Macaca mulatta: one gene and its partner. The protein of the gene in region 2 interacts with the protein of the main gene of each other region in a biochemical or structural test. Links are inferred from orthologs where the notes say so. Each region holds a gene or a part of one and is shown on either strand. Other genes may lie near its edges. The genes, in order: UBR2 and H2AC20.

Region 1 (15,872 bases), on a different chromosome or scaffold from region 2:
AAGATTGAAGTTTTTTTCTTCCTTTTTCTTTTTTTTTGAGATGGAGTCTCAGTCTGTCACCCAGGCTGGAGTGCAGTGGCGCAATCTCGGCTCATTGCAACCTCTGACTCCCAAGTTCAAGCGACTCTCCTGCCTCAGCCTCCCAAGTAGCTGGGATTACAAGCGTGTACCACCACGCCTGGCTAATTTTTGTATTTTTAGTAGAGACAGGGTTTCACCATGTTGGCTAGACTGGTCTTGAATTCCTGACCTCAAGTGATCTGCCCGCCTTGGCCTCCCAAAGTGCTGGGATTATAGGTGTGATGTTTTTTCTATTCAAGTCTTCTAGGTCTGTATTTATTGAGTTACTTGGTACGTGCCAGGCATAGCTTTCAGGTAGCTCTATGTACATTATGTCACTTTATCCTAATAAGAACTATGAATTATCCTCACTTAACAGATGAGGGAACTGAGGTACAGCGAGGTCAAGCAATTTGCTCAAAGTTGCACAGCTAAAAAGTGGTGGTGCTGGGAACTGAATCAACCAGTCTAGCTCCAGAATCTATGCTATACCTTGTAACTAACTGGCTATGGGGTAAAGTAGGGTGGAAAATATTCTGGTTTTAATCCTGGGTTGCCAAAAGCTTGGTTAGGTCATTCATAGAAATTCTGAAGTCAGACAGAAGTGCGGGATCCTTCGGGGAAGCTTAGCAGTTTGTGTTTAGAATTACTGATTAGATGTCGTCAAGGAGAGCCAGGTAAAGAAAGGGGTATGGAGGGGGTCAGCAATGCTGACTAGGAGAGGGTGGTGAGAATTAACCACGCCACATCATTCTTAGATTTTTTTAATGTACTGCAATAAATACAATCATGTAATGCTTAAAAGTTTTTTTGTTGTTTTGAGACAGGGTCTCACTCTGTCACCCAGACTGGAGTGCAGTGGCACAATGAAGGCTCACTGCAGCCTCTACCTCCTGGGCTCACACCTCCTGCCTCAGCCTCTGCTTAAACTTTAGAACTAAAGATCAGTATCCTATAACATTTTGCTCCCTTGCTTGCCAAATCATATTCCTCCTAACTGCTGATTTAATCATCATTTCAAATGGGTCAAATTTTAAAGGAGTAAAATAATATACTCACTTAGGATGAAAATCAGGCCTGAACCCTTCAGGGAGCTGTAACTCATCCATATTTTCTGAATTCTTTGTAGACCCATTATCTATGGAAACAGGCATTTTATACCATTATTCAATACATGACAATATTCCTAAAAGTATAGCCATATAGGTCAAAGAAATTAAAAACAACAGGAAAAAAATTCCCTAATAAAAACTGGCATAACAACCATATGAAGCATGAAAACACTATTGCTCTAGTTGACCAAGGCCCTTTCTTATCTATGCTTTTCCTTACAGTACAGCCACTAAAATGAAAACAAGAGTAGCTATTCTGTTTCTATGAAAACCAATGATATAAATTCTGTTCATACTACGTTCCCACAAGGTCATAAGTGCAGTGCATGGTCTATGAAACTTGGGAAGCCTTTGGTAATGCCAACAGTAAGGTGAGTTAGCCCACCAAGAACTGAAGCTAGCTCTGCAACACTCAGTTACATCTCCCCCACCTCCAGAAGCTCTTCAATAAAATGGGGGAATAAGTGAGAAGTGTTTGTTATAAACTTCACATGAGCTTGTGTGTTTAAGGAATTAGGAGTAATGCAGTAAAGTCAAATTTAGTTTATTAAGACAATGAAAATTAGAATGAGTCAAAATTTTAAGTGGGAGGTTTCACTTTTAAACAATTTCTTCTGGAAATACATTTTCTGATGACCTCGGACTTTAGGGAAAAATGAAAACAGGTTACCGGAACTTACTAGGAGTACTTTCTTCTTTCCTAAGAAACTGTAATGCTTTTATTTGCTGAGATATTGTTCTAATCCACTGAGTCAGATTTGGTTGGTCTGAAAAATTTAACCTGCTAGAAAAGATTATAGAGAGTATTTAGTGTTTTATTATTGTTCCTTAAGATACAAAAGACTCCTTAAATGATCACAGGCATATTTTAGACACACTCCAAATATTAAAAACAAAAAAGATAAGGGAAAATTCGTTGCATTAAAAAAATTAGGATATTGGCCAATGGAAATGAATATATTATTTGTCAATATGATGGTAATAACACTGTGTATTAAAAATCTCACTCTTCAGTACTGGAATTTGCTAGAATTTCTTAAGTATCATAATCACCATCACTATTAATATCTACCAAGTGCTTATTATGTTACAAGCATTTAGTGAAGCATTTTACTGTAAATATCTTATGGTATTAGACTTAATCCTCAAAATATCCCTATATTTTGTTTCAGGTTGTAGTATTATTGCATAGGTTGTATCCCTATATTGTATTATTTGTATAGGTTGTATTACTACATTTTGTAATAGGTTTTATTATTATCCCCATTTTACAGATGAGGAAACTGAGGTTTAGAGCTATGTAACTTGACTAAGGCCGAATAAAGGACAAAGCTAGCATTCAAATTTGGCTCTGTAAGATTCCAAAGCCTGTGTATTTTTATGATTATATTCGAATATGACTAAACCATAATTGAATCTCATGGGCAAAACCCAAAAAGTGGACCAATAAAGTGACAGGTGAAATCCAACAAGAGTGATTTCTTCTTATACACAGTTAATCCTCAATCTAACAATAATTAATTTCTTTATCAGTTCAAATGCAGATAAGTACCATGATATTCTTCTATAATTAAAAAGCATGAGCTTACACCCAAATCTACTAATATTTTAAGAACATTTTGTGGTAGCATAGACTAAGACACCAAAGTTTGAACTCCTAAAACTGACAAGAAAAAACTGACTTTGCTTTGAACTGAATCCAAGTAACACAGAAATGGATCATTTATACTCACATAACTTAATATTTGTGCATGCAAGGTAGGCAGCATAATTCTACATTGAGAAATGAAGTTCAGATTTGAATAGCAGACATTATCAAATTCATGCTTGAAATGAGTATGTCCAATACTCATAACTAAAAGCATCCAAAAAATTATGAAGTTACAGAAATTTTCCATTTTCTTTATTTTTTTTCGTCTGCTAGACAAATTCTAAAAGAGCTAAAAATATGGAACACTTCAAAAATTTGTGTGTCATCCTTGTGAAAGAGCCATGCTAATCTTCTCTTTATCGTTCCAATTTTAGCGTATGTGCTACTGAAGCAAGCACTTATTTTATTTTTGAGACTGGGTTCTGCTCTGTCACTCAGGCTGAAGTGCAACGGCATGATCAAAGCTCACTGCAGCCTTGACCCAAGTGAGCCTCCCACCTGAGTCTCCCAAGTAGCTGGGACTATAGGCATATGCCACTACATCCAGCTAACTTTTTATTTTTTGTACAGACAGGGTCTCATTATGTTGCCAAGGATGGTCTTGAACTCCTGGGCTCAAATGATCCTCCCACCTTGGCCTCCCAGAGTGCTAGGATTATAGATGTGAGCCACAATGCCCAGCTGAGATTTTTCCATTTAAAATATAGCAATAGATTTTCACTTTTTTGCCTGGTTCTTGAAACTATGAATGGCTAGTACATTGCAAAAAGTTTTATACGATTTTCAGACTGTCCTATAAAGTCAGTTTGAGTTGTTCCATCTCCCCCTACCAGTTTACTGAGCATCTCTTGAAAAGTGCATGGAAGATATTAAAAGTAGGGTCGTTAGAAATAAACCAGATACTTGGTTTTCATAAATACACAGGAATTTTATAGCTTAGAAACTTAAATTTTCACCTGCTCCTCTCTAAAAACTAAAATGATATTCCACAGGTCTGCTAGAAGAAAATGACCAGAGTTTGGAAAGTATCTGGAAAACACTATGCAACTGCCTACGTTAAGTCTTCCTCCCTGATTTATTATTTCATTATCTTCAAAGCAAACTACGGCTTTGTTATGAGTTGTCATGAGCCAAAACTTACTTGTTAAAAATATTTCTTGGAGGAAGCAGCAGAGGAATAACAGTATTACTCAAGCATTCACAAAGGGGGCAAAGGAATTCTCCATTTTCTACATCATAGCTTGTATGTAAGCGTAATCTCTGTTGCCTTCGCTGTTCTTTAGCTTGAACGGAATCAAAATACCTTTACAATTAGAGAACATGAGGTATCAAAACAATGGTAATTTATATAAATGACAGCCACAAGCTTCAACATTTTAAATAATTTGTTTCCACAAATAGTTCAAAAATGAAAAATCTTAAAACTTTAAATTATTTTTAACATGATTTTTGAGTGATTTTAAAAATCCAAATGGATTAAAGGTTCTAAAACAGGAAAATAAAAAAAAAGACTGCCATGTAAAAAAGCATTTACAAAGCAGCAACAAAAATTTCTTGGTGCCACTGTTCTCTTGCCACTTCCCCAAGGCTGGTGGCTATTTGTTTGTTTTTTTGAGATGGAGTGTCGCTCTGTCACCCAGGTGGGAGTGCAGTTGCACGATCTTGGTGCACGGCAACCTCCACTTCCCACATTCAAGCAATTCTCCTGTCTCAGCCTCCCAAGTAGCTGGGACTACAACGTGGTGGCTAGTTGTTAGGGGTAGTTCATAATAACTGGGTGAGCATAGTTCTAGAATAATATTGATTTGTTGGTTTTGCAGAAGCATAGAAAACACCAAGGTAGAACAAATTCAGGACATCTCATCTTATCACAGGGAGCCAGTAAAATTTTGGGAAGTAACAAAGCAAATATTAACATCTATGGAATCAAGAGTTGTCCACCCTGGACCCAAAGAAAGACAACATTACCCTTCTAGGGTTTATCCTACTGTAAAAACCCTTTTCTTCATCCACAGACTGACACAGATCCACTTCCTTCTTTGGAAGATAAAGAAGAGACTTGGATATAAAGCTAAATTAAAAAATATATCTGACATACTTTACATCTATGACAAGGCAAATAACTTTTGTTATTAGGCAAAAATATAGATTTTTTTTCTTCAACATTTTTAGTTCTTTTCCTTTTTTCTAGAATAAAATTTCCTCTACGTTAAAAATTTTGAGCCCTTAAACTTCTCTTGAAAATATTAAGCATATACATTACCTTTGCCAACAATGGGCATGCATAATGTGCCCACAGCTACTAGTGTGTGTTCCACAAGACAGATCAGGATGCATGAATAATGGATCATATTTTTCTGCATTACAAAACAAAAACAAAAACAAAAAACAAAACAAAAAAGTGAAGCATTTAATTTTCCTATAACAAATGTGCAACTTTAAATTGTAAAATCTTTGATAAAGACTTGTAAATTTGAAATGAAATGCTAGTTTATTCCTTTTGAGATACCAATAATTTATGCAAGACTTTGGATTATTCAGAAAGTAGGACTCTAATTTTCACCATCCACAGCAAATTAATTAAACATTCTCAAATTGTAAACTGAAATTAGAACGATGAATTTAAATATATCCAATCTTTTGAACATTTCACACTTTCAGGGTACTGAGGTATTCCAATTCCTCCCATTGTACCCTGAACTCCAGGTAAAAGAGCTACTCTCTTCCCTGGGCTGCCTTACGTGCGTTCAGGACAGCTGGGTTACAATGATCGCTAATAAAAAATGTTTTGGCAGTAATGGGGCGCCCACTAGAGGACAGACTGCTTAACGACATTCATACAGCAAATAATCACATCAGAGCCGAAGTGACAACAAAAAATCTAAGCATAGACCAGATCAGATGGGGAAAAAAAAAAGTAATTCAGAGTCTTCTGTCCTGGTGTCCTGGTGCTAATTTTTATATTCAAATGGGATGAAAAATCAAGAAAAACAAGATGGATGTCTGGCTTCTTTTGGAATTTTTTGAATTCTTTATATAAATTAGTATAATCTTAGAAATTTCCTAACACTCTAGAAAGAATTATTTTTAATTTGCTTTAATAGTTTTAATTTGCTTTAACACTAGAACAGTGCAAATGTCAAAGCATTAAGAAAATCCACTTAGAGCCAGCTAATGCTTTTTCTTCAAGAAGTAACAAATTAAATAAAATTAACAACTCTGTCTTTGGCCTGGAATGAAATTTATAAAGCACCAAGTTTAAATGGCTATTTCTTTTTTTTTTTGGCAGAGTCTCGCTCTGTCGCCCAGGCTGGAGTGCAGTGGTGCCATCTTGGCTCACTGCAAGCTCCTCCTCCCGGGTTCACGCCATTCTCCTGCCTCAGCCTCCCGAGTAGCTGGGACTACAGGTGCCTGCCACCATGCCCGGCTAATTTTTTTTCATATTTTTTAGTAGAGATGGGGTTTCACTATGTTAGCCAGGATGGTCTTGACCTCCTGACCTCGTGATCTGCCCGCCTCAGCCTCCCAGAGTGCTGGGATTACAGGCGTGAGCCACTGCACCTGGCCTTTAAAAAAAAAAAAAAAAAAAAGACAGGGTCTTGCTCCGTCGCCCAGGCTGGAGGGCAGTGGTGCAATCTCAGCTCACTGCAACCTCCACCTCCTAGGTTCAAGCAATTCTCGAGCCTCAGCCTCTTGAGTAGCTGGGACTACAGGTGCGCGCCACCACATTCAGCTAATATTTTTGTACTATTAGTAGAGACGGGGTTTCACCATGTTGGCCAGGCTGGTCTCGAACTCCTGACCTCAGATGATCCACCTGCCTTGGCCTCCCAAAGTGCTGGGATTACAGGCATGAGCCACCATGCCCAGCCCAAATTACCATTTTAAAAGATGAAGCAGACCAATCTTTAGTAAATAGGATACAAAGACTTTCTTTAAAGAGAGAAGGCAACTCTAAAAGTGGCTCTCAAACCTCCTTTCACACTGCAGTGTGAAAGGCATGGGCTAAAGAAGTGCTCTGGGAATTTCCAAGACACAGTTCCTATTCTCAAGAAGTTTACTGTGTATCACTCAAGCATATGCACACAGAGCACAACCTACAAGCAGAGAAATAAATGTGTCAGTGGACAAAATCATGTACAGACTGGATCTCCCTGCTTTACTTCCTCAGTTGCTGAAAGAGGGCCCTCAACTGTCCTGCACAGTAATCTGTATCTCAAGAATCTGCTTTCTGGGGAACCCGATCTGTGGTGGTATCACTATTCTAAGTCAGAATTTGGCTCAAGGATTGCCTCTTACATAGGTAACTCTCTATCACTGTTCTCAGGAGATTCCACTCAGGCTCTATCAATAAGACAAAGCAATTATTATTTCAGTGTGTCAACAAATGACCAAGGCTTTGCAAGTGTACTGAAGCATGGGAAAGACTGTGAAATGCCAAAGTATGTAATGTTACATCACAAAGAAAAGCTTTACTTTGAATCCCTGCTATTTATCAGCTATATGATTCAGATGTAACTTTCTGGAGTGGTTCCACATCTGCCAAGTGGGGAATTCCTGCCTAAGTTACCTGCCAAAGATACCATCCAAGTCTATGGAGTCATTCTTAGATTTAAAAAATCTCAATGTATCATCAACCACATTAACTGGTAGTTGTTATTAATCGGGAAGATGAGGATCTAGCTATGACTTACCTGGATCTTGAATAAATTTACTTCTGTTTTTTGATAATACAGTTGATCTCTGAACAAATGCTGCCAAGACCATTGCCCTGCTTTCCACTTTAACTTCTTGCTCCTCTTGACACAATATACATGTAACGAATTGTCTTTGTTCAGGAACCTGAGTTTGTGTGGGGCCCAGCGCTGTAAGTGTCATATCTGAAACCACAGGGCTGCAATACAAAGGTTATGAATATAATTAACGATCCCAAAAACTTTCTACATAATCATAAAATAGCAGACTACAGGTATGTATGTGTGCATATACATATATATCTATATATTTTTTAAATTTTATTTTTTTCTTTTTGAGACGGAGTCTCGCTCTGTCACCCAGGCTGGAGTGCAATGGTGCGATATCGGCTCACTGCAAGCTCCGCCTCCCGGGTTCACGCCATTCTCTTGCCTCAGCCTCCGGAGTAGCTGGGACTACAGGTGCCCGCCACCATGCCCAGCTAATTTTTTGTATTTTTTAGTAGAGACAGGGTTTCACTGTGTCAGCCAGGATGGTCTTGATCTCCTGACCTCGTGATCTGCCTGCCTCGGCCTCCCAGAGTGCTGGGATTACAGGCATGAGCCACTGTGCCCGGCCCACTTTTATTATTTATTTATTTTTTTGAGATGGAGTCTTGCTCTGTTGCTTAGGCAGGAGTGCAGTGGCATGATCTCAGCTCACTGCAACCTCCACCTCCCAGGTTCAAGCGATTCTCCTGCCTCAGCCTACTGACTAGCTGAGATTATAGGTGCACACCACCACGCCCGGCTAATTTTTTTTTTTTTGTATTTTTAGTAAAGACAGGGTTTCACCATGTTGGTCAGGCTGGTCTCAAACTCCTGACCTTGTGATCTGCCCGCCTCGGCCTCCCAAAGTGCTGGGATTACAGGTGTGAACCACCGTGTCTGGCCAGGCATGTATATATTTAACACATGGTTTTGATAACTTGGATTGTCAAGTCTTTGGTATGTATCAAAACCATCTCCTTTAATTCTCACAGCAATCTAATCTGCAACACAGATGTCACACACTCTAGATAACTGAGTGTAGTGTACTCATTCTTTCATGAATGTCCAAGATCTTCTGCAGAAAATACCCTACTATATTACCATATCTATATTCAGAGATTTCTAAGATTAAATCTTCTAAATGGAGGTCACAAAATTTACCTACGAATTCTAATAAATTACTTTAGGTTTAAAAATATACTTACAAGGAAAAAAAGCAACACTGCCCCTAGTTGGGAACAACTGGTCAACAAATTAATTTTTTTTAATACCTATTATCAAGAACAGCAGAGGTTGAGGCATCCAGTTCTAATGTCTGCTGAAAGAGTTCTTTGTTTTCATCAATAAAATGCCGCTGCATTTCAGACATCTGAGCCATGATCTTTTCTCTGCGCAGTCTGGCAATCTCTGCTTTTCTCTTCCTCTCAGCTTTGTCTTTGTCCCTTGAACTCTGAAATTATGCTCCATTCAATTAGACCATTAGATGCTAAAACACACATTTTTTTCCAAAGCAGAAATATCTTTATTGTAAATACCAATTAAAAACTATTCTACAATCTCACTTATTTAAACAAGAGAAAAGACTCTTAAGTTGACCTAACATGTTTTAAAGGAAAAAAGCAGACAAAAAATTGCTACAACAAATAGAGACAAATAGTGGCATATTTGTTGGAATTTCAATGTTGTAACTGGCAACTTACTGTAGATAAATTTAATTTGTTCATACTGAACTTGTTATAATTTTTTAGCATTATCACACTTTACTGTTTATACCTCTTCCATTATGGTTCCTTCTGTCTCTGTCACGGGACTGGTAGGTGAACTCTCCCTCATCTTTTTAACAGCATTAAAAGTCTACAAAAAAAAAAAGTATCAGTATCCTGTATGAAATATCATCACAATGTACACGTAACAAATATTTAATATTTCTCACAAAAAGCAGAAGAATGTAGGAAATTTTACCTTCAATATCCACCGAATCATGTCTTTGTGGACTTCTAGGTAGGGAGCATTTTGTAGTGTTTCCAGCATAGCTAGTATGCTAGGAGAGTTTTTTGGCGCTTCACCAGGTTCTATGTCAGAAAAATAAAAGGCACAATAACAACAGCTAACACTTCATAGTACTTATTCCTATGCACAGGAACATAAATGCAGTTGCTTATAACACCTATTGCCCATAATTTGATTATGACTCTACCAAAGAGATTTTCAATACTTCTTGAGAATGTGACATATGTGCCTTTTACAAACAAGCTGCCAACAACTAGAATTCTTTAAGCATTCAAAAGTGACTTTTAATAGCAAACGAATTTGCTAAAATGTATTTTAGCAAAATTATATATAAATTCAGCTAAAAATAACTGGTGTACTTGAGATTTTACAGGTCTAAAAATAAACTAGCATTAAGAGGTGCACATATGTACAAATACGTTTATTTGCTCTGACCATTGCCTTTAATAAAAACTAGATTCAGAATAAAATGAATTTCTTCCCCTAGGAATTCACTGTTTATTTGAATATAAGAGTTAAGTCCATATTTTCTATTAGTCTGTAGTCAGAAATGTTCAATTATCGATTTTCTTGATTTTGGTGCTGCCATTCTGGAAAAATGTGCCTTTTTCCTAAGAGGGAAGAGATTGACCTTTGTGATCTTTAATATTCTATCACATCTAAAACTCTGTGGCGTGCATTAGGGATGTGACTCTAGATAAGGGAGAGGTTTCTTTGCAAATAAATCGTGTGTCTTAATTATGTAAAATGTCTAAAGACAAATTAAGAGTAATGTTGAGGGAAAATGATGATCGTTTAATAAAAAGGAAAGAGAAAGTAAGAGAGAACCTAATATATATATATATATATATTTTTGAGACAGAGTCTTACTCTGTTGCCCAGGCTGGAGTGCAGTGGTGTGATCTCAGCCCACTGCGACCTCCACATCCTGGGTTCAAGCGATTCTCCTGCCTCAGTCTCCCGAGTAGCTGGGATTACAGGTGCCCACCACCATGCCCGGATAATTTTTGTATTTTTGGTAGAGACAGGTTTCGTCATGTTGGCCAGGTTGGTCTCGAACTCCTGACCTCAGGTGATTCACCCACCTCGGTCTCCCAAAGTGCTGGGATTACAAGCATGAGCCATCGTGCCTGGCCAAGAACCTAATATTTTATAGTGATGAGTGAATGAAATTAGGGAGTATTCTGTGTGGTTATCCTAAAATAAACACACCAGAAACAAAGAAAGCAAAAACCACAGTATTAATCCATAGAAACAATACGGTAGAGAAAAAGAATAGGTAAAAACTGGCATCCATGAATAAAGTGTTCAGTGGGGAAAGGTGGTTTCTCCTCTTTCTCTCATTTACTTGGATGAGAGCAAAAAGGAAAACTAGAGATCTAGAAGCAAACAAAATTACTCCTCCCTGTCCCCTGGTAGCATAATTCTCACAGTTATCATTTAGGAAGAAATGGCACTGAACACATTTACAGAAATAATCCTTTTTAATCAAAGCATTTATAAACTCCTATCATAGCACCATAAATTCATTTAAAAACACCTCAGCAAATAGCTGACTACCGGTCTGTGGCAGGGAAAGTATAAGATGAGCTTGGGCATCTTTTGGGCCAGAAAGTGAGGTGGTACTTTCTGGCCCAAATGGGGCTGGGTGAAAAGGACACAGAAACTGACTAAATAAACTCCCACTGATCAAAGTGGGCATGATTTGAGCATCAAAAGGAATAATCATTATAAGTGACTATAAAACACTGAATAAGTAAAATGAATAATATTTTAAAAAACTCTAAACAAAAAACATTCAAAGTTGCCACAATTGCAGGTAACTATCAGGCCAATGGCTGGTTATGAAAATTAGTAAATGAAAAGCTTTTCTTTGAGACGTGAAATATTATGTCTACAACAAAAGGTTCAAGAAAGTACGTAAATATAAAAGCAAATATAGCAAACTACTAAATCTAGGTAGTAGGTATATGAATGTTTACTGGACAATTCTTTCCACTTGTCTATATGTTTGAAATCTTTAAAATAAAAAGCTAGAAAAACTCCCTGGCCTTCTTTCAAAAAGTCACATTTCTTTATATGAAATGACAATCTAATCCCCTATAATTTTTATTTGTTTTCAATACTATAGAATCTTATGTCAACCACAGCTGACTGTAACTTTGAACTTAGCCCTAGATATTTTTATAAAAATATAACAGGGTTTAATATAGTACCTTTACTACACAGATGAGTACATATAGCCTCAAACATTTAGATTAAATGTTACCCTTTTAGAATCCATATGACCAAATAAGAGAGGTTATTAAGTGATTTCTTAAAATCATTTATATCGAGTTAGTTTAGTAAAAAGATATATACATACTTGATATCTTCTGAGTGAAGGTAAATGTTACTACATGCTCTTCTGTGACATTCTCTAAATGTTGTTTTTCTTCTTGTAGTGCCATTCCAATTAAATGTAACACCTTGAATAAATGTTTTGTAACTTTTAGTAACAATTAAAAAAACCAAAAAAACCAAGCACATATTTTAATAAGAAATAGCAAAAAAGAATTATTGAAAAAGATAAATCAAACTATTAAGTACTAAATGCAATTAAAAACAATTTGAAGTACTAATTTTTTTTTTTTTTTTTTTTTGAGATGGAGTTTTGCTCTGTCAACCCAGGCTCACTGCAACCTCTGCCTCCTGGGTTCAAGCGATTCTCCTCCCTCAGCCTCCCCAGTAGCTGGGATTACAAGCGTGTGCCACCATGCCCAGCTAATTTTTGTACTTTTAGTACAGATGGGGTTTCACCATGTTGGCCAGGCTGGTCTCGAACTCCTGACCTCAAGTGATCCACCCATCGTGGCCTCCCAAAGTGCTGGGATTAAAGGTGTGAGCCACCATGCCTGGCCTTGAAGTACTAATTTTTATTAAATGAAAAGACTGAGGTTCATTTTCTATTAAACAATAATTGGCAAGAAAAACAAAATTTTCTACTTCAATGAGGAAGAAATTTCAATCGCAAATTCTTAGGGTAAGCTAAAATTACCACCACCTGTGACCAGCAATTCACATAATATGTAAGTTTTATTCTATACCTATACTACAGACTTAAAAAAACCTTCCAAGAATCAGTGGTCAAGTAAGTACAAAGCTAAAAGTATCCCCTATGTAATTATTCAGTCTATGACACTATATAGTTTAATTTCTCTAAGGACTAAATCATCATCTGAGAAAGACAAACTTTTTATCTCTAATGCCTTATCATTTATAAACTTTAGAGTCCTTCAATGTATCTCACAAAATATTCTCCATCAGACTTCTAAGAGAGTGTATTAACCTATTTGTTTTTTTACTGCTATTACCCCATGCCCAAGTTTTTCTGTGTTTTTTGAGACAGAGTTTCCCTTGTTGCCCAGGATGGAGTGCAGTGGCACAATATCGGCTCACTGCAACCTCCGCCTCCCAGTTTCAAGGGATTCTCCTGAGCCCTCCTGAGTAGCTGGGATTACAGGCATGTGCCATGATGATTGGCTAATTTTTGTATTTTTAGTAGAGACGAGGTTTCACCATGTTGTACAGGCTGGTCTTGAACTCCCAACCCCAAGTGATCCACCTGCCTCGGCCTCCCAAAGTGTTAGGATTATAGGGGTGAGCCACTGCGCCGGGCCCACACCCCAGTTTTTAAAGGAGATATGTGTGTGATGTCTCTGTATCTTTCCCTCCACAAGGGAAGACTGTGGTTGTCAGAGACTTGGAAGAACTAGGTGACATAAAGCAAATGTACACGTAAGGTAAATATTGTTCACACCTCTCTTCTCCATTATTTCCCACAAATCTTTTGTTCATGTAATGCTGACAGTACACGACAGCTAGTACAGCTGTACTAGTAATGAGCTAGTATACCACAGCTCCATGCTTTTACACTTTAAATAGGCTTATAAATAGGAGGGCATTATAAGAATACACACATCTTAGCCAGTGAGACAAAAAGAAAGAATGATAGCTACTAAGCCTTCTGAGGAAGGCTCCAAAATTTGAATTCGAATCCTGGTTTTACTGCTTTCAAGCTATTAATATAAACCCTCAGGGAATGTTTCTGAGCCCATGTCATCATCTTTAACACTGGAAAAAAAGTTTCCCTCTAGAGTTCTGAGGATTACAAATGCTGTATGCAGAGTGCTTAGCATGGCCGGGCATGGTGCTCACGTCTGTAACCCTAGCACTTTGGAAGGCCGAGGTGAGTGGATCACCTGATGTTGGGAGTTCGAGACTAGCTTGGCCAACATGGTGAAACCCTGTCTCTACTAAAAATACAAAAAATTAGCTGGGTGTGGTGACAGGCACCTGTAATCCCAACTACTCAGGAGGCTGAGGCAGGAGAATTGCTTGAACCCCGGAGGCAGAGGTTGCAGTGAGCCAAGATCACGCCATTGTACTCCAGCCTGGGTGACAAGAGCAAAACTGTCTCCAAAAAAAAAAAAAAAAAAAAAAAGTGCTTAGCATGGAATAAGGCATAAAGTAGACATTCTATTTAATGAATAATTGTTATATCACTTAGTAGAGTTATATGGGAAGTAAATGGAACCTCACTGAAACTTGGCTTCCTCATCTAACGATGAGAAGAAAGTGATATCTATTCATGGGGTGTTGTGTGAATTCAATGAGATAATGTAAAAATGACTTACATTAAAACTATAAAGTAAAATACAAACAAGGGGCCAGGCATGGTGGGCTCACGCATGTAATCCCAATACTTGGGGAGGTCGAGGGGGGAGGATTGCTTGAGTCTAGGAGTTCAAGACCAGCCTGGGGAACATGGCAAAACTTTGTCTCTACCAAAAATACAAAAATTAGCCAAGTGTTGTGATGCATGCCTGTAATCCCAGCTACTTGGGATACTGAGGTGGAGGGATCGCTTGAACCCAGGAGGCAGAGGTTGCAGTGAGCCAAGATCGCATCACTGCACTCCAGCTTCCTGGGTGACAGAGCCAGATCCTGTCTCAAAAACACAAAAACAAAAATAACACAAAAAAGGTTCCAGACTTGCCACGTAACTAGCTAAAGGACCATAAGTCTATGAGTGCCAGTTTCTTCAACTACAAAATAAGGATATGGATGATTCAAAAAAAAATTTTTGTTTTGGAAAATAATTAGATTAGAAACATATATAAAAGATAACACATTACATCAATATCAGAGCACTACATATATAAAGACCAGGACCAATCAAGGAGAGAATGACTGCCCAGTGGGACTGAGGTAATAACAACCATGTGGTATAAAAAATCTGTCTGGCACTTGTTTTCACTGTCAGACACAAAAGCAGTAACACTATATTCAAGTTAGGAAAACACAGTATGTTTCGGCCTCATTTTCCTCTGTATAGATACAGACAAGAATATTTTGCTTGTACTATAAAATACTAAAATATAAATAATAAATGTCTTCAAACCTACCCTTTGCAGCATGGACTCTGACCAGGCATATCCATTATGTTCCACAGCCCATTGCAGAATTGTTCCCATGATGCACAGCATGACATCTGACTGCAAAATGTTAACCAGGCTTGCAAACAGAGGGCAGAATGGAGGCAACACCGGAGGTGGGAGTGCTGAAAATACAGTTGTTATTACTATCGGTTTCTTTTACAGAACATGCTTTAGAAACTATCCCTTTGTTACTTTTGATAGTTTTAACTCAAAAATATTCATTAACGCACACCTTAAAGCTATTATTTTACGTTCTCAAGGTCAAATCTGTAAAATGAGCCACATAAGTAGCAGCAGTACAAAAGAAAGTCTGTCTTTTCCCCTAGGAAGGTTTTAAGATCTGAGATAAAATCAAACCAGAGGAGACTTAGTACAAACTATTTCTATGTTAGCATATTTATTATTCCTTTGAATAGGAGGTTGTTCACTAGGAAAGCTTACATTTAAATATTCATTCCACCAAGGACAATCATCATAGTTAATAGAAAACAATGTTTAACATGTAAAAAAGGGGCATGACATTTTTGGAAAGATTAAAAATACCTGTATCTTCTCTATTTTGTCTTTTCATTTTCCGTTGAGCTTCTTCTGCCTAATAAAAGATAAAGTTATTTGGGCAGGGAATTAGTCATATAAAACATATCCAAAACTAGTGACATAAGTCCATCTTTGTTGTATTATTTTCTTTTTTTTCTTTGAGAGTCTCGCTGTGTCACCCAGGCTGCAGTGCAGTGGCACGATCTCGGCTCACTGAAATCTCCGACTCCCAGGTTCAAGAGATTCTCCTGCCTCAGCCTCCCAAGTAACTGGGACTACAGGTGCCCACCACCATACC
Region 2 (14,594 bases):
TGCATGTGCCATGGGGCGGGGGGTATCACTATACTGTCCTCAAATATAAGCCAAGGGTTAATTTCAGCGGACGCACACACAACCCTGCCTCCCATAGTCCCTCCCCTAATCTGGTTTCTGTGTTGAGCCTGGGATGGAGGAGCCCTAGGCCAGCCAGGGATAAGAGACCCACAGTCTCGGGAGATCTGAGGGCATCTGACAAGGCTCATCTGCTTCCCTCCTTAAGAAGCACAGGCCTCCTCTGGAGTGAGAGGCTCCACCCACTACAGCACAGGTGGGAACAGCACAGCTGCCCTCCCATACCCCCGACCTGTCCCCTCACAGGCAGGGGAGCAGGGGAGGGAAAGAAACCAGGCATCTGGTCAAACCAGCAGATCAAAAAGCACAAGGAGCTGGGGCAGAGGCAAGAAGCAGGGGCCCTCCTGGCAGCTCCTCTGAGTGGGGAGAGGTTGAGCAGTGAGTGAGGGACCCCTAACGCAGGGACTAGAAGCCTCAGTTTCCCCATTTTACCCTTCCACACAATAGCCTCTGTAGGTTAGGCTGCCCCGTCCCACCCTACTCTGTGTGGCTGCTTTCTTTGGTGCCCTCCCCTCACCCCACTGTAGCTGTGATGTGTTGTAGTTTTTAGATGTTTGTAAAATGTTTAAAAAAAGTTAAAAAGGAAAAAAGTGAAAATAACAAAAAAGAAAATCAAAATTCACCTTCGTCATGCTGCGTCCGGTACCCCAACCCTGTGGTCACTCCCCCCATTTTGTAACACTGTACCAGGTGGTGACTGTTTAACTCTTTGGTGTCTGTGCTCAAAAGACTGCCTTCTCCTCCAGTGCCCAGTGTATGAATGTATGCCCTGTGCCCTTGTCCCTCACTCCTCACATGCTGGACGTAGCCCTCTTCCTTGCACCCCTGGGAGGGACCCATCCATCTCCCTTGCTCTCCTGGGGAACCCCAAACCCAACTCTGTTGATGTGAAAAATGCAATGAAAAATATTGATGAAAAATAAAACAGAAACAAATCCTCAAAATACAAAATGGCTATACCTGCTTCTGTGACTCTCCACCTACATCCAATTCTCCTAACAGCCTTGGAGGGTAAAATGGTGAGATGGAAAAACAGCTTTCCAAACTGAAGGTCAGAATAACATGGTGTACCAGCTTTATTTCCTAAATTGGCCTCTCTACCTTGATCTTTCCCCTACCGATGGAAGGCCCTCTAAGTCTCCCAGATTTGAAAACTTTGGGAGTAACATTTCATAAGAATAGAACCAACTTTCCCCTAAATCTTCTGTTATGCTTTTTAAAAATACACACTCCAGACTCCACTCTTGACTTGTTGAATCAGAACCCTTTTTTTTTCTTGGTTTGGAAGGATGGGGACCTTGAATCTCCTTTTTTTGAGACAGAGTCTCGCTTTGTTGCTCAGGCTGGAGTGCAATGGTGTGATCTCAGCTCACTGCAACCTCTGCCTCTCGGGTTCAAGCGATTCTCCTGCCTCAGCTTCCTAAGTGTGGTTGGCGCCTGCCACCACACCCGGCTAATTTTTGTAGATATGGGGCCAGGATGGTCTCGAACTCCTGACCTCAGGTGATCCGCCCACCACGGCCTCCCAAAGTGCTGGGATTACAAGTGTGAGCCACCACGACTGGCCGGAAGCTACATTTTAAACAATCTCCATGGGAGTTCTTACCTAAAAGAAAATCTGAAAACTACTGCCTTGGGGTTACCTTGACTCCCCTCTCACTCTAGTCCATTTCTGTTCTAATCAAACCATTTTCTGATTTTATGGTAGCTCTCAAATCAACTCCTTCCTTTCCATTCCCACAGATGACCTGTAAATCAGGGTTCTACCTTCACTCTGGATTGATCTCTTTTCCTCCAATCTCCCATGCCAACTCACTTACACATCACTGCCAGATCCATCTGACCCCAAATGCTCTCTGGCATGTCTGTACTCAAAATTCGTTAATAACTCCCTACTGCCCAACCACATGCACCTTAAATTCTTTAGCTAGAAATGATCAAGATATATGTTAACCGGGCCGGGCGTGGTGGCTCATGCCTGTAATCCCAGCACTTTGGGAGGTTGACGCAGGCGGATCGCTTGAGGTCAGGAGTTTGAGACCAGCCTGACCAATATGATGAAACCTTGTCTTCACTAAAAATACAAAAATTAGCCGGGCATGGTGGCAGGCACCTGTAATCCCAGCTAGTCAGGAGGCTGAGACAGGAGAATTGCTTGAACCTGGGAGACGGAGGTTGCAGTGAGCTGAGATCAGGCCATTGCACTCCAGCCTGGGCAACAAGAGCAAAACTGTCTAAAAAAAAAAAAAAAAAAAAAAAAAAGATATATGTTAACCAAGTTTTGTTCTCTAATAATTTCCACATTGAGATTATTAGAAAGTTGCTTCTATAGACATTACTTGAGCTCCCCTCAGAAATATGACAACATTTGTAATGCTCAAAAAGGGCTACATTGTGGGGCATGGTGGCTTACACCTGTAATCCTAGCACCTTGGGAGGCGGTGGGCAGAGTGCCTGAGCTCAGGAGTCTAAGACCAGCCTGGGCAACATGGTGAACCCTGTCTCTACTAAAATACAAAAAATTAGACGGGTGTGGTGGCACAAGCCTCTAGTCCCAGCTACTTGGGAGGCTAAGGCAGGAGAATTGCTTAAACCTGGGAGGTGGAGGTTGCAGTGAGTTGTGATTGTGCCACTGCACTCCAGCTTGGGCAACAGAGACTCTGTCTTAAAGAAACAAACAAAAAAACACTAGGGGTGGTGGCTCACACCTGTAATCCCAACACCTTGGGAGGCTGAGGCAGGAGGATCACCTGAGGTCAGAAGTTTGAGACCATCCTGGTCAACATGGTGAAACCCCATCTCTACTAAAAATACAAAAAATTGCTGGACGTGGTGGTGCATGCCTGTCATCCCAGCTACTGGGGAGGCTGAGGTAGGAGAATCACTTGAACCCAGGAGGCAGAGGTTGCAGTGAGCCGAGATTGCGCCACTGCACTGCAGCCTGGGCGACAAGAGCGAAACTCCGTCTCAAAAAAAAAAAAAAAAGGGGGGCTATATAAAGGTTTCTCCATCATCTCTAATAATTTTCTTAGTTCTTATTCTCTTTTCACTGCTTTAGTGGTTTTTAAAAACATTTTTCTTTTAAACAAATACAAGTACTACTTTTTGGAAATGGACAGGCTGTAAAAAAGGCAAACATTCCCCTGAGATGAAGTTCAAATGTGTCCCTGCCTATATCGCCTGTCTTGTCCATTAACTCACTGCTCAGTCCAGTGTCTATGCCTTTGCTCAGGTTCTTCTCTCTGCCTGCAGCACCTATCCTCTCCTTTCTGGTTAATTTTGTGCTTTCCTTTAAAGACCCAAGTAGATCACTTCCCTCATAAAGCCGTTCCCGACTAGTCTACAGGTATCTTTCTTCTCCCAAGAACACCTGTGGCACTGATTCAGCAGTCCATTAAGAACACAGCCTCATAGTGTAATTTCTTTTAATGTATAGGATTGTTTCCAACTCATCAGGTTTGGTGCAGTTCTGTCACGATTTAACATGGAACATCCGGGCTGCCCTTCCTGAATAGTCCAGGGCAAGAGCAGTAGTGAGTGATTCTTCTCTTTTCTTGGGTTCACTTTGACCTGAAGCAAGTTGCTATCTTCGGAGAATATGTATGGACCCCAGTAGAATAGAGCTCAGGGGTCTTCATCCCTTTCAAATCCTGGACTATATCGAAGGGAAGGCCTCAGTAGTTCGTGCTCACTCAGCCCATTCGGATCCTGGTCCTGCCCCTCTCTTGGGGCTTAAGGGGTTCCTAGAGCTTTCTTGTTCCCACCCAGGCATGGGGGGCTAGTGTCCAGCTGAGAGTTCTCTCTCCACTGGGCGGGGGTCCGTGCCTGGATGGCCAGTGCATGGACCGGCCCTGCCAGCTCCTCGGCCAGTGCTGCGTGGACCAGCCGGTGTCGTTGTAGGGGGCTTAGTCCCTCGAAACGAGAGCTCACCACGGCCACGCGGAAGTGCGTCTCACTGCCAGGCGGGACCGCGTGGCCACTGCTCTCGTTGCGAAGCTCCAGCACCTCGGGGCTCAGGGCCTGCTCCAGCTTCGTGCGAATGGCGGCCTCCACTGGACCGATGGCCCCGGATCCCGCGCTGCCCCGGGACAAACAGACCCGGCCAGCCATGGAGACCAGACCTGGGACCAGGCGACCACTCAGCATCGGCTACGCCAGAGACACGAGGAGTGAGGGTCGAGATGATCCGCCTGGTGAGAGCACAGTATCAACACCCGCCCCGCGACCCCCGCATCTGCTCTAACCCCACGCCCAGGTGTCCACACCAGCTCCTGTCGGGAGACCGCCTCAACGCCACACAGGGAGACTCGAGACACCGCCTTTTCTCTACGTGACACGGTGAATTCGACCTCCAGCTGTGGGAGTGGAGGGACAAGCGGAGATTAGAAAGGCCCGCAAGCGAGGCGCGTTCGTTCCTTACGGGATTTGCAAAGAATGGGCAAATGTAGGGCATGTGCAACTGCGTACTTGTGGTTGGGCCGAAGCCCCTGTGATCCCTGTAAAGCCCAGGAGAAGCCCCTTTTACCTGCCGCTCAGCCTCGGATATTGCGACTCCCGCTCAAGGCCAGGACTCTAGACGCTGCCGAGCAAAATGCAGTCCTGGCGCCCTTCCTGAGGCACGCTGGGAAATGGAGTCCTTGCTGTGCGTTAGTAGGAGGGGCAGGCACCACGTGGAGCCCTAAGGGCTCGTGGGAACTGTAGTCTTGGATTCTCCCCACCGGTAAGGTCGTCGGAAACTCTCAACCCAGCAACGCGAAGAAAAAGGGATTTCACGCGCAGCTGGGGTTGGGATTATTAGATCTATTTTACTGCCAATAGATATTGTAGATCATCCAGCCCAATTCCTTTATTTTATATACAAGAAAATGGAAGTCTGATTGAATACATAATTACTGTGCCTCAGACTAGTGCTGGGGACTGGAGAGTCAAGTCAGACCCTGTCTTCAAGGAGTTTACACAGCACTGAAGACTAACAAGTGAGCGGACAATTGCAGTACTGGGTACTAAGTGCTACGATGAGATAAACACAGGATGCTACGGAGGCAAGTTACCCAGACTTGGCCGGGGTTGGAGAGGTGGAATGACGGGCGGGCAGAGAATATTTCCGAGATTTAGGGAAACAGTTTGGCGGAAACAACATGAAAATCCATTTCTCAGTCCCTCATAGTGAGGTTTTGGCTGTGGTAGCCACATGTGTAAAGGACAAGAGGAGAGAGAATTTTGAGGGAGTCTTTCTGGTGTAGTTAGGGTGTGGTTATGTGTGGTTGGAGCCTACGGGGCAGATGATGATGAGTAGGGTACCGGGAGGAGAGGAAGGGCCCAGACCTCCCCAGGCCTTGTAGCCCTTGTTAGGCAATTTTGTCTTTATCCTAGAAGTAGTGGGAAGCTACTGAGGTTTTAAACAGGGATGTAACAGGATGTAATTTTTCCAGGATGATTCTTAACTTTTACGCTTATATATATATTTTTGTCTTTGTTTTTACTTCCTTTTTGTGGAGAATGGGGTCTCGCTATATTGCCTAGGCAGGTCTTGAACTTCTGGGCTCAAACTATCCTCCTGACTCTGCCTCCTTGAGAGCTGGGATTACAGGCGTGAGCCACCACACTTGGCGATTCTTAACTTTTAAATTTATTTAAATTTTATTTTGTATCCTTAATATATTTACATATTTCTAAATGTTTTTCCCCAACTTCTCATTTTGAAAAACGTCAAAGCCATAGAAAAGTTGAATAGTTCAAAGCAACACCCTCTATCTTTCACTTGGCCCACCATTTTTTACATTTATATTTATTTTATACTTGTACATATATACTCATATATTTAAGTACTTTACATATACTTTAAAATATATTTATGTACTTTTTTGGATGAACAATTTGAAAATAACTTGCAGGTAGCATGACATTTCACTCCTAACTACTCCAACATGTATCTCCTAAGAACAAAGATATTCTACCACATAACCACAATATCCTTATCACACTCAAGAAATTTAACCTATGACATACACTGTTTTCCCTAGCCTTTAAAAAAAATTTAAAACTTCCAGAAAAGTTGCAAGATTAATAGAATGAGCAACCCATTTATCCACTATTCACCTAGATTCACTGATAACATTTTGCCAGACTTGTCTTTGTATCTCTCTTTTAATGTATGTGTGTATAATAATAACGAAATAATAATAATTATTTCTGCTGACTCACTTGAGTTAGGTGCAAAATTCTTTTTTTTTTTTTTTTTTGAGACGGAGTTTTGCTTTTGTTGCCCAGGCTGGAGTGCAATGGCATGATCTCGGCTCACTGCAACCTCTGCCTCCTGGGTTCAAGCAAGTCTCCTGCCTCAGTGTCCTGAGTAACTGGGATTACAGACATGTGCCACCATGCCCAGCTAATTTTGTATTTTTAGTAGAGACGGGGTTTCTCCATGTTGATCAGGCTGGTCTGGAACTCCAACCTCAGGTGATCCGCTCTCCTCGGCCACCCAGGATTACCGGGATTACAGGCGTGAGCCACTGTGCCTGGCCCAAAATTCTTTTTTTTTTTTTAATGGAATCTCACTCTGTCACCCAGACTGGAGTGCAGTGGCGCCATCTTGGCCTACTGCAACCTCCACTTTCTGGGTTCAAGTGATTCTCCTGCCTCAGCCTCCTGAGTAGCTGGGACTACAGGTGGGTGCCACCACACTCGGCTAAATTTTTTTGTATTTCTAGTAGAGATGGGGTTTCACTATGTTGGCCAGGCTGGTCTGGAACTCCTGACCTCAAGTGATCCGCCTGCCTCAGCCTCCCAAAGTGATGGGATCACAGGTGTGGACCATGGCGCCTGGCTAATTTTTGTGTTTTTAGTGGAGAGGGGGTTTCACCATGTTGGCCAGGGTGGTCTCGAACTCCCGACCTCAGGTGATCTGCCCACCTCAGCCTCCTAAAGTGCTGGGATTACAAGCGTGAGCCACTACGCCTGGCCTGTGATGGTTAATGTGCCAACTTCTAGAGGATTGGTGCTCAGATATTTGGCAAAATTTGGGTGTTTCTGTGAGGGTATTTTGAATGAAATTAACATTTGAATTGGTAGACGGAGTAAATTGCCCTCCCTAATGTAGGTGGGTCCCATCCAACCAGTTGAAAACTTGACTAGAACAAAAAGAAGGACCCTCTCTTGAGTAAGAGAGACTTCCTTCTGCCTGACTGCTTTGAGACCGGGACGTTGGCTTTTCCCAGCCTTCAGACTCAGAAGTAAACACTGGCTCCATCTGGGTCTTAGACTCGGCCTTTGGACTGGAACTACACCATTGGTTCTCAGGCCTTTGGATTTGGACTGGAACTATATCAGCACCTTTCTTGGGTCTCCAGCTTGCCAGCTTACCCTGAAGATCTCGGGGATCTTGGGATTTATTAGCTTCCATAATCAAAAAGCCAATTTTTTATAATAAAACTATCTGTCAATCTATCAATCTATCTACTATTGGTTCTGTTTCCCTGGAGAATCCTAATGTATATTTACTTAAAAAAAAAAAAGACATTTTCTCACATAACCAGAATATAACTGTCAGACTCTAGAAATTAACATAGATACAGTACTATTATCTAATCTACAGACCTTATTCAAAATTTGCCAATTGTTCACTTCTATCCTATATATAAAATGAAAAGAAATATTTTCTGGTCCAGGATCCAATCTAGGATCACATGTTGCATTCAGTTGTTATATCTCTTTGTTCTCCATTAACTTGGAATAGTTTCCTAGATTTTGTCTTTCATGACTTTGGCAGTTTTGAAGTTACAGACATTTATTTTGTAGAATGTCCCTCAATCTGGGTTTGTCTGATGTTTCTTTATGATTAAAATTTAGCACATGCATTTTTTGGCCAGAATACTGCAGAAGTAATGTTGAATTCTTCTCTGTGAAACTTACCAGGGCACGTGATCTTTATTTTTCTTATTACTAGTGATAATTCTGATCATTTGATTAAGATGGTATCTGTCAGGCTTTTCCACTATAAAATTCCTTTTCTGTCTGTAATTGTGGAAGATACTTTAAGTCTATCTACTTTCCTATTTCTCCATTATTTTTTTTCCCACTAATTTTAGCATCTGAGAAGTATGTTTGAGACATCTCTTAGGGGTTGTTGAAGATAAAATGAGATCATGAGGGTGGGGCTGAGGTGTGGTATGTGATCACCTGGGGAGAGAGTAGATGGTGAGAAAAGAATCAGAATGTTTATTAGAAAGGCCACTCTAGTGAGGAGTGGGAAGAGTAGAAGCAGGGAGAGGAGCAGAAAAGTCTTTGTTGGTAGTCTGGGTGAAAGATAACCTGAGTGAAGGCACAAGATGGGCTAGAGAGAAGTAAATTGATTAGAAAGCTGCTACAAAGATGGCATCTATAGGACTTACTTTGGTTAGGACCTTGCAGTTTGCAAATCCAGTGAAACCCCACTTCTACTAAAAATACAAAAATTAGCCAGGTATGGTGGCACATTCCTGTAATCCCAGCTACTTGGGAGACTGAGGCAGGAGAATCTCTTGAACCTGGGAGGCAGAGGCTGCAGTGGGCGGAGATCGTGCCATTGCACTCCAGTCTAGGCGACAGAGCGAAACTCCATCTCAAAAAAAAAAAAAAAAAAAAAAGCACAGTACCGAATGGTGAGTGCTGTCACCAGGATATGAACAAAGAGATGTGGGCACAGCAAGGATATTTGTGTGGGAGTAGGGAAGTTCTCCTCTAATAATTCTTTCTTCCTTTTTTTGTACAGAGGAAGAAACAATGGCTGGATAAATTAAATGACTTCATTAAGCCCAACATCTAGACATCGTGAGGAGCATGTTCTTTGAGTCAGGCAGACCTAGATTCTAATCATGTGGCTGTGTGACCTTCAGCAATTTTTTTTTTTTTTTTTTGAGATAGAGTCTTGCTGTGTCGCCCAGGCTGGAGTGCAGTGGCGCTGTTTCGGCTCACTGCAACCTGTGCCTTCTGGGCTCAAGTAATCCTCCAACCTCAGCCTCCCAAGTAGCTGAGACCACAGGTCACAGGTGTGTGCCCCACCACACTCAGTTAATTTTTGTATTTTTTGTAGAGATAGGGTTTCGCCATGTTGCCCAGGCTGGTCTCAAACTCCTGGGTAAAAGCCATCTGCCTTGGTCTCCCAAAGTGCTGGGATTACAGGCGTGAGCCACCACACTCAGCCCAGCAATTGTTTTAATCCCTGTGAGCTTCAGTTTATTTGTGAAACACATAATTTTATCTACTTTGTAGGCAGTTGCTACTGTAGGGTTTATCATAGTAGGGTTTCAACATAATCTTTTTTTTTCTTTCACCCTTCTTATGGCACAGAACACTGTGATATAAGTAAAAAAGAAATCAGAGGTCAAGTCCAGGCGCAGTGGCTCACACCTGTCATCCCAGCACTTTGGGAGTTCGAGGCCAGCCTGGACAACATGGCAAAACCCTGTTTCTACTGAAAATACAAAAATTAGCTGGATGTGCTGGCGCATGCCTGTAATCTCAGCTATTTGTCGGCTGAGGCATGAGAATCACTTAAACACAAGAAGCAGAGGTTGCAGTGAGCTGAGATTCTGCCACTGCACTCCAGCCTGGGTGACAGAGTGAGACTCTGTCTGGAAAAAAAAAAAAAAAAAGAGGAGGTCAGAGAAAGAAAGGAAGGTCAGCATGCCCCTCAAGCAGGGCCTTATGGGGTGCCAGGATTATGGTAGGGTCCCCTATCATCTGGGTTTTTTTCTCTGCCCTTTAGGTCTGAAAAGTTGACACTATTAGAACTTCCAGGACTGACTGGCTTCTTGGGGAGGGACCCATGCTAACAAACTACACGAAATTTATGAATAGTCCAAAATGCAAATTCATTGAATTCTATGATGAACATCTTTCTATAACTGGCTCCCCCTACTTCAGTCTTATGTGTTTATCTTGGAATAGAACAATCAGAAAGTTGTTAATTGAGCACAGAATCTGAATGAAGGAACTTGGATAGTCTTCAGAAATATTTCACCCAGGCTGTGAGAAAAGGCTGATGCTTTCATAACCAAGGACCCTTTTCTAGTAGGCCAAACTTTGCCTCTGCCAGATATATTTTATTGTTGGTGAAAACATATTTCTACTACAATTGCCACCTGTTTGGACTCTATGTAGACTGCACCTTTCTGTTAACATTCATCTTCTCAAATGATATAATCAATTGGATTAGAAGGATCTTAGGTTACACCCTGGTCACCTCTGTCTGAACTTTGGTGTTCCCCAAATCTATACCAGCATTCTTACCAGGAGTAATCTCTAGACGTAGCTGATTTTAACTAATTTAACTCTCAGAGTTCACCAGATTTCCTCCATTTTCTGGAGGCATTTCATCACAGACTTGTTTGTACTACTTTCAATTATCTATACACCCATTGCCCAACAGCACACATCCAATAAATGCCAGTTGAATAAACTGGTGAGAATAAAGGAGGAAACATCAGAAAAGGTGTCAAATAATAAGATTTAAGTATTTTCTGGCCGGGTGCAGTGGCTCACGCCTGTAATCCCAGAACTTTGGGAGGTTGAGGTGGGCAGATCATAAGGTTGGAGTTTGAGACCAGCCTGGCCAACATTCGAGATTTGAGATCAGGAGTTCGAGATTAGCCTGGTCAACATTAGTAGAGATGAAACCCCATCTCTACTAAAAATACAAAAATTAGCCGGGCATGGTGGTGGGCGTCTGTAATCCCAGCTACTTGGGAGGCTGAGGTGGGAGGATCGCTTGAACCCGGGTGGGTGGGGGCGGGGTAGAGGAGGTGGTGGTGGAGGTGGCAGTGAGCTGAGAAGTGCTCCAGCCTGGGCGACAGAGCGAAACTCCGCCTCAAAAAACCAAAAAAACCACAAGTCTATTTTTTCTCTCTATTATTCTACCTGACCTTAAGGGATACTAAGGAAAGGGTGAGAATGGTGTAGGAGATGTAGAACTCCCAGAGATGGGACGTTGAGGAGGAAGAAACACAAGAGCTTTCAGGTTCATCTGTTATATGGGATAAAAGAAAAAAAGAAGAGCTTTCAGGAAAGATTTCTAAGGCCGCTGGAGTCACACCAGCAATTAATGCCTGACAGCAAAGTTACCCTTTCCCGGCTGTTGCTGAAATCTAAGGGATGATGATGAGGTGGACAAGGGAGCGTGGAGAAAAAGATTGAAGGGATATTAAGGAAGCAACTGACTGGACATGCTGAGACAAAGGGAAGAGTAGAGTAGATTTCGGCTTAGTTATCTGTAAGTATGCTGGCGCATTTCAGGAAGAGGGCAAAGAGGGGAGGTTGTTTGCAGGAGTTCGCGTTCGAATAGGCTGAGGTTGAGTTTGAGTTTGAGGTGCTCGTTGGGACAAGTAGTAGGTTGAAGTATTCAGTAAGCAGTTAGGCACAAGGGTCTGAGCTTCTGAAACAAATTTGGATGTTAGTTGAAAGCATATAAATGGGTAAGACTCTTCGGGATAAGTGAAGAATTGGAGATAGAGAAGCAGAATCCAGCTGGACTCGCAGATTTAGAGATGGCATGGGGAAGCAGGATAAGAAAAGTCGGCGAGCTAAGAAGAAAAACGCAGGGCGACATTTTGAAAGCCAAGGGAGTAAGCTTCAAGGCCGCCTCCTGGAGGTCAAGAAGATGACAGATCTAGCCTCGGTCAAACTGAATTCCAAGGAGTGCAGGCGGGTGGGGGTGGGGCGGAGTCGCTGCGGGCGACTTAAGTTGAGGGGCGAGAAAGGAGGCAGCCTTAGTAGTACTTGTATTTTTAAAGGGAATTTGGCTGTGACGAGACAGAAAGGGCGGAACTTAGTAGTTTAGAGCTCAAGGGGATCATTGGCTTCAGAATCCCCTACTCTTGCGTGAGAGTAACTCTCAGTCTACGGATGTCTTCTGCAGTTTCTTAGGGTCCATGTTGGGATTTACCGGCTGTAAACTAAACAAAGCAAAGCAAAACCCCATAGTACAAGACATTTTGTTTGAAAGCCTACTTTCTTTAAAGATCCTGCCATGCAAATAAGGGGCTTTAATGTGGCTCTCAGCGATTGGTAGATACTTACGAAATCCGTCATTTCCTTTCAGGGCAGGATGCAAACCAAGAGGCGGCTTTCTGTTTTTCTATTGGCTGTTGGATACGGCTCCGCTTTTAGCCAATCAAACGACTTCCCTTCACCCCTCCCGGTAGCTCTTATAAATTACATCAAATTGGTTATTCTTTCCACATTCTTCTCCTTGTAAAAGAAGCTGTAACTGCAATTTTAGCCGTAATGTCAGGACGCGGAAAGCAGGGAGGCAAGGCCCGCGCTAAGGCCAAGTCGCGCTCGTCCCGCGCTGGCCTCCAGTTCCCGGTGGGGCGAGTGCACCGCTTGCTGCGCAAGGGCAACTACGCGGAACGGGTGGGGGCAGGCGCCCCGGTGTACCTGGCGGCGGTCCTCGAGTACCTGACCGCGGAAATTCTGGAGCTAGCAGGCAACGCGGCTCGGGACAACAAGAAGACGCGCATCATCCCTCGCCATCTGCAACTAGCCGTGAGGAATGACGAAGAGCTCAACAAGTTACTCGGGGGTGTCACCATTGCCCAGGGCGGCGTCTTACCCAATATCCAGGCTGTCCTGTTGCCCAAGAAAACGGAGAGTCACAAGCCTGGCAAGAACAAGTAATTAAGAGGCTTGACACCATACTCATTCACCCCAAAGGCTCTTTTAAGAGCCACCAAAGTGTCAAATGAAGGGCTGATCACGAAATAGCGCATTAGCTCTTTTTTTGAAAACTTGGGTGGCTCTAAAAAGAGCCTTTGGTCTTTGGTTTGTTTGTCTGCATTTATTTGCTTTTGGCTTTGTGGCTTTCAGTTTTCTTTGGTAACAGAACGGCCTGGATGTTAGGCAAAACGCCGCCCTGGGCGATGGTGACTTTGCCCAGCAGCTTGTTCAGTTCCTCGTCGTTGCGGATGGCCAGCTGGAGGTGACGAGGGATGATGCGCGTCTTCTTGTTGTCCCGAGCTGCGTTGCCCGCCAGCTCCAGGATCTCGGCGGTCAGGTACTCGAGGACCGCCGCCATGTAGACTGGCGCGCCAGCCCCCACCCGCTCCGCGTAGTTGCCTTTGCGCAGCAAGCGGTGCACTCGCCCTACCGGGAACTGGAGGCCAGCGCGGGACGAGCGCGACTTGGCCTTGGCGCGAGCCTTGCCTCCTTGTTTGCCACGACCAGACATGACTGAAACCAAGGTTAAACACAGACAATGCTCAGAACCTCGCTACAAAATAAGCTTGAAAGAGAACCAAGAGGAAAGCCTTTATAAGCTTTCCTAGGGGTGGGGTCTAGAACGAGTTTTTCATTGGTCCTAATATGGCTTCAGAACCGGCCAATCAAGTCAAGAGTCGGTGTTGTTGCGTACGCATTGCTGAAAACGCAAGGTCCGCACACGGACCAATGGAAATGAATGACTTTCGGAGCCCTAATTTGCATAAGGTGGTTATAAAAGAATCAGGCCCGCCCATTCTCTTACTTCTTTTCTTGGCTAAGCCGCGTTTGTACTGTGTCTTACCATGCCTGAACCGGCAAAATCCGCTCCGGCTCCTAAAAAGGGCTCCAAGAAAGCCGTCACCAAAGCCCAGAAGAAAGACGGCAAGAAGCGCAAGCGCAGCCGCAAGGAGAGCTACTCCATCTACGTGTACAAGGTGCTGAAGCAGGTCCACCCCGACACCGGCATCTCGTCCAAGGCCATGGGCATCATGAACTCCTTCGTCAACGACATTTTCGAGCGCATCGCGGGAGAGGCGTCCCGCCTGGCGCACTACAACAAGCGCTCCACCATCACGTCCCGCGAGATCCAGACGGCCGTGCGCCTGCTGCTGCCCGGCGAGCTGGCCAAGCACGCCGTGTCCGAGGGCACCAAGGCAGTCACCAAGTACACCAGCTCCAAGTGAGTCCCTGCCGGGACCTGGCGCTCGCTCGCTCGAGTCGCCGGCTGCTTGACTCCAAAGGCTCTTTTCAGAGCCACCCACCTAATCACTAGAAAAGAGCTTGTTCACTTACTCCCTTAGTTTCTTCTCATAAAGTAATTTTAGCGTAAAGGTCATGGGAAATGCCACACGTAGGTTTTTAACCATTTGGAACTTGAGGTCCCCGGTGCATGATTGGATTTGCTTTTGAATCTAGAGCGTGTCTTCACTCATTGTGCTGCTTAGCATTCCCAGGAGTCGGTTCTCAATTAGGATGTTGGGAATCCGCCTCTTTACCCGCCCCCACTCCCGCCCCATACTGGCGCCCTGGTGGCTTCTTGGGTCTGTTTCATTCTAAAACGAAGTGGCTGAGTTCGGCTGTTATTTAAGAGAACTCCAGGGCACGATTCAGCCCAGGTTCCGCAAACACTGCGTGACAGCTGTGTATGACTGACGCTTGGCAGCACCTTTTGTGTCCGGTCACCAGTTCTGCTGTGCGATGGGGTCTCCTGTGGATACCAGCCGTTCTGTGTATTTTGGACGAAGCCCGCGCAGCCGGGTCCCAGCCTTTTCCTGATTGGG

What was found.
Region 1: the proteins of H2AC20 (region 2) and UBR2 form a complex in vitro, tested with the Homo sapiens proteins (2 studies listed by BioGRID, with this or other methods). The link is inferred for Macaca mulatta from reciprocal best matches to the Homo sapiens genes H2AC20 and UBR2.

The regions. Positions count from the first base shown.
Region 1 is NC_133409.1:139,473,628-139,489,499, forward strand, and holds part of UBR2 (E3 ubiquitin-protein ligase UBR2), read right to left. Parts: intron 15,630-15,872; coding exon 15,581-15,629; intron 15,160-15,580; coding exon 15,005-15,159; intron 12,026-15,004; coding exon 11,923-12,025; intron 9,620-11,922; coding exon 9,510-9,619; intron 9,402-9,509; coding exon 9,321-9,401; intron 8,998-9,320; coding exon 8,819-8,997; intron 7,718-8,818; coding exon 7,518-7,717; intron 5,181-7,517; coding exon 5,087-5,180; intron 4,127-5,086; coding exon 3,965-4,126; intron 3,222-3,964; exon of another isoform or gene 3,115-3,221; intron 1,957-3,114; coding exon 1,853-1,956; intron 1,199-1,852; coding exon 1,120-1,198; intron 1-1,119. UniProt on the Homo sapiens protein: E3 ubiquitin-protein ligase which is a component of the N-end rule pathway.
Region 2 is NC_133406.1:117,251,989-117,266,582, forward strand, and holds H2AC20 (histone H2A type 2-C), read right to left. Parts: upstream 13,340-14,594; 5' UTR 13,283-13,339; coding exon 12,893-13,282; 3' UTR 12,873-12,892; downstream 1-12,872. Other genes in the region: BOLA1 (bolA-like protein 1), read right to left, coding at 3,811-4,224; H2AC21 (histone H2A type 2-B), read left to right, coding at 12,340-12,732; H2BC21 (histone H2B type 2-E), read left to right, coding at 13,617-13,997. UniProt on the Homo sapiens protein: Core component of nucleosome. Nucleosomes wrap and compact DNA into chromatin, limiting DNA accessibility to the cellular machineries which require DNA as a template.